Linked DNA regions of Saccharomyces cerevisiae S288C. The protein of the gene in region 2 interacts with the protein of the main gene of each other region in a pairwise test. Each region holds a gene or a part of one and is shown on either strand. Other genes may lie near its edges.

Region 1 (3,760 bases), on a different chromosome or scaffold from region 2:
GTTCATTATACGTGAAATTATTTACCTAACCAAAATTATCAAACAATTCTTCCTTACTTCAGCTAAAGATTCGGCGAGACAGAGGTTGAACACAATGCAAGCGCATCGATATTTTTACGGCCGCAGTTGAATGGATCCAAAAGCATTGGCCAATTTAAATGAAAGAAATAAGTAAATTTCTAAAGATTTATCTAAGTGCCTCTTCTTTCCTGTATTCAATAATTTAGTGTCTAAAACGCAAAGGTATAAATTTGATAATGTTCTTTTATTAACTGTCAATAAAGTATATATGAAAAAGTGTGAAGAACCTTCGTATAAAATCTATCTAGTAAAATATTTTTAATTATGTGCGGATGTATTGTCTATTCCCATGTGCTTTGCTTATGTCCTGTTAGAGGACTTTTAAGTATGCTGTATACATGTTTTAAATTTTTGCCTTTATTCTTTCTCTCTCTTACTATATCGCTCTCAGACCTGCTGGGATGAACGACTAACGTTTTGAGCAATCATATCAAGCTCATACTCTTGATTTGTTAGGTCGACACTAATAGAATATGGTGCGATTTTCTTGCTTCCTAACTGTTCGAAGTCTTGAAATCCCTTTAACTCGTTACGATTATCTTGTGTCGAAACTGAATGATATTTTTGTAATAGATCTTGCTTATATCTGAAGTAATTATAATAGCATACATCTGCCATAATAATAAGCATTCCTAACCAATTGTAAAAACCACTTAATCTTTCAGAAAGAATAATTATACCAAATATTACCGTCAAAAGTTCCTTCACTATACCCACAATAGATACGGTCAGCACGGGCGTTTGCTCCAAAATACTAAACTCACAAATTGTCAACAAAAAGACTGCAAAACCAGGTAAAATTAACAAAACAATACCCCTCACAATGGATAGGACGGTAGTTTCCGTGCCGACACCGCCATTGCTCGTATCAAGCCTAAATATGCTAGAGCTGAATATACCAGGAAATGGTTTTTCCACAAGTAGCGAGGTAAGCAACAGAGTAATGCCCATTATAGGAGCTAACTGGTGGATTGTATGAATTGGGTGAGGCTTGGATTCTCCAAAATTCTCCAGCATTTTGTTATTGGCGAGGTTAACAACAGGTTCATTATCGACATTATCTTCATTTTCCGTGAAAAGGGCACCATCAGATTCCTCTACTGCTGCAGCGGTGTTAGTTTGAATTGGGTTGTTCCTAAGCATCAACTGCGTATAAACCCACCTTAACCCAGAAAGACAGCTACTTGCTAGGACAAGAAAGCTGCCAAAAATGACCAAGGCTTGGTCGTTTTTGGTACTGGTGGAATCGCTTGGTTTGAAAACCATTAATGCTACACCAACAAACATAATTATTACTGAAAGTGCCAACTTCCAATGAAACTTTTCTAGCTTGAAGATACAGCCGAATAAAAGGACAAAAGCTATGCTCGAAGATTTGATAATTGTATAAATTGTCAAGGGAACATACTGGAAGGAAACGTTACTGAGCCCGATATCACCTGCAGAAGCGACTGCCGTAGGGAGTAAAAATTTTAGAAAAAAACTCCAGTTAAAACCATTATTCTTTCTTAAAACGTTTTTCACTGGCTTATGCCTGAGCTTAATGTATATGCCGGATAGTAACCATAAAGTAGCCTGATGGAATGTTGTCACCAACACGGGATACCCAATACCCAATCCGTCCTTCGGATCGAACATCCATCTATTGTATATGGAGAGAGCTATTGAACAGAAATACCATCCAAATACAAATGCCAAAAAGACAGTCCTATTCATAGCAAAATGTGACACGAGAATTGAAGGTATAAACACTCGCTGTAACAACTTCAAGTGATCGTGGAAGTGATGAAAATGCAGTTATGAGTATAATCAGGCCAATTGACACTTTAAAAAAACAGAACAACAGCTTCTCGTGATGCCACTATCCCTTATATTTCCAGTTCTAAGCCATCTCCTTCTCATTCTCGACAAAAAAAATGGGTGTGATTATTTTGCGCTTTATTTTTTGGCGTCTCGTCGCCGATGACTCTAATAGATGTTGAAGCCTACAAGCATCTATTATATTTTCTTCTTTGGTTGTAATGGGATGAATGAATCTAGAGTTAATGAAGGAGTGCTGGCAATGCTGGGCTCGCTGGATGGATGATAACTAGATTGTGCAGGTACCTGTTCAAATCCATCACCATCATCATGTTCACTGCATCCAGTGTTAGTAACTGCGGGCTCGTGTACTTTGGGTTCAGCTTGTTGATCACTCATACTCTCTTGCTTTGATTGGATGGTATTTTTATCACTGAAAGTTGTATCATCGTCAGGTGATAGGCCAGATTTTTGGCTTACCTCATCCTGAATTTCATTTTTGGCCTCTATAGGCTTTTCGGATTTCTTTTTTGAACCTGATTTAGAACCAGAATGGCCCCAAAATCCAAAAAAACTCTTCCTTTTCGACTTATTTTTCTTTGTCTTATCACCGTCTGATTTCTTCTTTTCTTTGGGCAATTCCTTAACAACGAATTTCTGTAGCGGGTCCACTTTGAAATCGGAATTAGCCCACGTAGAAGGTTTCTTGCCATCAGCTGTATGTGCCTCATTTCTCTCAAATCTTTCTTCCACCATCCAACTTTTGCTATTGGGCTTTATACACTTATCAATCTCAGCAGAAGCTCTATCAAATAACTGACTGGTAGTAGTAATTTTGGGCTTGTTGCTTCCTCTGCTCGGAGAGCCCTGCTTGAAGGTTGTATTTATAGTTTCTTGATGAGAAGTAGGTGCTACATTATGACTCCAGGAAAATAGAACTGGCCCATCCAGCTGTAAAGCGCCAGAATTCATAGTTATGGTTTTTTCCTCATCAATCCAATCTCTTTGTATTTGCCGACATTTCCCATCAAGTTTGTCGGTACTCAATTTATTCCCCATTTGCATAGGTGAATGAAACAAACAGTTCATCAACCGCCTACCGTTCGCTACTTCATCTAATAACCCATATAACGACACATCTCCATTTTTGGCTTGCTCGGAGTCATCTTGCGGTGTGTATTCCTTACTGAACAACTGGTCGATTATTTTGTTTTCGTCCATAATTTGTCCTTCCCAAAAAATAACCAGCTTAGATTCTGACAATGCTTGTTTCTTTAATTGATGATCTGTAATATTCGTTGATCATTAATACCATTGATTTCAATATTTCATGTTTAATCTTTTGCGCGAAAATTTCAATTGCAAACCAAAATATACATCAACAATCTTTTATCGGTCAACAAATTTGTCGATATAACCAAATATACGTCGTCGCTGCCCATTATACAATCATCATGGTAGTATCCATCATACCGCAATTTCCTGATATCAAGGTTTCACTAGCATTGTTTGAACAGGTTAAAAATGCTAAAGAAATACGCTCTAAAATGAGTGAATTGTCGACATCCTTTGCCTTTATTGACCCCCGGTTAGTCTGTTCGGGGGAGCAGATGTATTCTGCAATTTACAAGACCTTAATAGAAGTGAAATATAACAAGATGAGAACAAGAAATTTGAATTCCGAGTGCGTACTATGTCTTTCACCCACTTCCAATATTAGTGATGCTTTCCTCAAATTCGGAATCAAAGACGATTCGTCACAGTTAATATGCCTTAAGTTCCATACTAATACTGACGATGTAGACAAAGAGCAATTGAGGACGATTATGACTTCTATAGTAAAAGGACAAGAGATCGAGTTTAATGATGACAATTTATC
Region 2 (3,293 bases):
CTAGTGGGATCGCCTAACGAGACGGAATATGCCCAATTATCGGAATAGGCGTGTTCTGCAGTCAAGGAAGCTGTAGTTTTGTTATTTCTCTGATTATATCGCAGGATTCTAGACAACGACATCACTCCGTATGATAAGTAAAAGGATTACGTACGCTATTGTGAACGTTTTTGCAATCTATCTAGTTTTTCCTATTAACTTTTTTCTTTTCAAAAATTCATAAAGGCAAGGAAATATGTTCCGATTGACAATAAGTTCAGTGAGTGAATGAATGTTAATGAAAAGAATTCAATTTCCAGATTTTCGTATTTATTTTTTTTTTTTGCACCTTTCCTTATTGTGTGACCACAGCCGAAGGTGACGAAGGGATGGAGACTAGCCAAAGAGAGCCGGCTGTTAGACAAAAAAAAAAGCGGAGATTGTTTAACGGATACGTCTTAATAAGCAATCCGGCAGCACCGAGAATGTTTTTACCCTCTGTCCTTTTTCTTGGCGTTCCTATAATTCAAATAACCCCCAATATGCTAACAGCCGTAACCTTAAATGTTAGACATGTTACCCCTGTACGTCATTGCGGGGGGAGTGCATTGATTAAGGGGTAGTAGTAAAAATTCCCACCGGACTTGAAGTGCGGAAAAGTAGCTCCGATTTGGGGAAAAAAAAGTACCAGCCGTCTCGTCTTTCATGATAAAGTGAAATAGAGCAGCGGTAATAATGCGGCGCTATTGCTTCCGGAAGAGTTTACGTATTGGGCATCTTTGCCATTTCTTTTTTTGGCAGTAGCATGATTCTGCACGATTATTTATGTTTTTCCCTTTATTTTCTTTTTGTCTAAGATACATGGCGTATAAAATTAAATTTGTACTCATTTAAGTAGTTTGGCTCTATCAGGATGAATTCCTGCAGGAACAGGCTTGTTGTCTGTTCCAGAGGTTTGAGCTGCAGTGGCGGTAGTTTTGGCGATTTTCTTTTGGTTGCCGTCGTTAATCATCTTTGTCAACCTCTCTTTACGTTCTTCATCCAACTTGATGTTTTTGTTTTTCAATTTTTCTAGACGCTCTTGACTGTTACCACCTCCGCCAACAGTTAGCTCGACATTGATCTTCTTCTCTTTCAGTAAGGTCCCATGTTGTAATAAGGCAATGTCCATACGTCTTTGAATGCCGGTGCGATCTTTGTCAGCATCGAATTCCAAAAATGCAATACCTTTGTCAGCTCTGAGGCGGATCTGGTCGGGTGAACTATTTTTAAAATGGTTTTGCAATTCAACAGCAGTGATGTCTCTAGGTAAGCTACCGACAAAGACAATAAATCTGTTGCCCTTTTTACCATTTTTGCCCTTACCACCACGGCCTCTACGTGTTTTTCTTTTTTTCTTCACGGGTTCTTCACCATCATTTCCGGCTGCACTGTTGGGTCTTTTTCCTTCTGGTGCTTGCTCTTTTTTTACGTCTTTCTCTTGATCTTTTTCCTCCTTACTTTTTCTAAACTGCTGAGCTTTGAGCTGCTTCTTGGTCAACTTTTTATCTTCCTCGGACCCCATTTTAGCTGTAGACGTCTTCAATCTCTATCCTGTCCTCTACATTAGATTACTTTCTCATTTTCTCAGAAAACCTTTTAAGCTCATCGATTAAGAAGAAAAAAATCTTAGAAAATTTTCAGGAATGCCGGGTAAACGTATGGGGAAAGGACTTGGTGAATCGAGTTAATGTGGAGTTCGTAATAATAGTACTCTCATACCAAGTTTTCCATCCATAATTGTTTTTGGTTGCCGTTACTTTACACCATCACCTTTCGCCAATGTAATTGGTGGCTCTTTCCCTCTCCATCTTTTTTTATAATGTACTAAAATTAATACACGATAACAATTTTTTCGGGTTGTGTAAAAACTCTGAAAAATATAAAAAGTTGATGAAAGGACAGATTTAAGTATTTTGGAAGACAGCCGTAAATTCATTGGACTACAGAGCATAAAATCCCGTGATACGATAAAACTCTAACGATGTTCTCATATTCAGATTTCTGTTCTATCGGTACGGCCATGATCTTATCGGCCACAACGTTCCTAATGGGTGTTTTCTTCAGTAACATGCCATACGATTATCATCTTTTATTTAATCCTAACTCTACTCAAGAGCATTTCGATTTGGCACTGAGACATTACCAAATTTTACATGAGACTCCATTGCCGGTGATTGTTACTTTGTGCGTTGTTGCCGGTATTGGCTTAGTTGGTGGTACAATTAAGGTTTTCAAGCCAAACCCTGAACTGCAGATGTTTGAGTATTGTTCATTGGGGTTGTACGTGTTGGCTATCTGTGTGTTTCTCACTAATGTGAAAACAGGTATCGACTGTTCTGTGAGCCATAATTGGGGAGAAGTTACGGAAAATCAGGGTTTGGCAGTTATTGCTTCCTCCAACATAATTTTATTAGTTATGTTTGCCGGTGTTATCATCCTACAAATTGGTTTGTGGTACAGTAACTGGGATTTGCAAAAAAGATTAAAGGAGTTTTATGCTCAAGAAGAAAGAGAAGCTGCCAATGCCGGTAAAAAGACTGAGAAAGTTGACAATGCGAAAAAGAATGATAACAAATCTAAAGGTGCTCAAAAGAGGAAGAACGCCAAAAAATAGGCCATAATATTTTTAACATTTTCTCTTTTTGTCCCTCTTTTCCCGTCTGTGACGAAACAGACGATTATACGAATCTAGTTGTATAGTAAGATCAATATTTATTATATAAATACTGTTGAATAAATAAAACTCTATCTGCTTCGTGCATAAATTTACAAATAATTCCAAAGAAATAGCAACAAGTACCAGCCTTGTTTAGAAGTACGAAAATCTTGGAATCCACTTTTTTCTATTTTTAAATAATTTCTCTCAAAAAGCTATTGGTTTGCTGAATATTTGGCCGAGTAATAGTAGACGCACTGGAACTTGTTTCTTCAATGGATGACTCCGCAGATTCATTGTATGACGATACGTATGAAAATCTCCCGGATTCGTGATCCGCCATCCCATAATAAGGATGTGCTATATATATACCGTCTGAGGAACTAGCTCTGTGTAAATCTCTACCATTTTCAAAGGAATCTCGTTTGCCCTCGCCGTTGGTTGTTACTTTATAATTAAGGACATTTAGGAACGGATTTGACGGTGCTTCTGTTTCTGTTACCTCATCACAACTTACCCTCTTGCCAATATCATGGCTAAAGCCCTTTTTGCTGTGATTTTTCACGTTTCGTCTGTTTCTAATAATTATGAATCCGATAAAAATTACTATTACAAC

The links.
Region 1: the proteins of SHR3 (region 2) and YMD8 interact in a protein complementation assay, tested with the Saccharomyces cerevisiae proteins (2 studies listed by BioGRID).

Annotation. Positions count from the first base shown.
Region 1 is NC_001145.3:202,307-206,066, forward strand, and holds YMD8 (Ymd8p), read right to left. Parts: upstream 1,798-3,760; coding exon 469-1,797; downstream 1-468. Other genes in the region: LFT1 (Lft1p), read right to left, coding at 2,080-3,102; CGI121 (Cgi121p), read left to right, coding at 3,336-3,760.
Region 2 is NC_001136.10:76,424-79,716, forward strand, and holds SHR3 (Shr3p), read left to right. Parts: upstream 1-2,002; coding exon 2,003-2,635; downstream 2,636-3,293. Other genes in the region: serine/threonine protein kinase PRR2, read right to left, coding at 1-122; NOP6 (Nop6p), read right to left, coding at 866-1,543; YDL211C (uncharacterized protein), read right to left, coding at 2,871-3,293.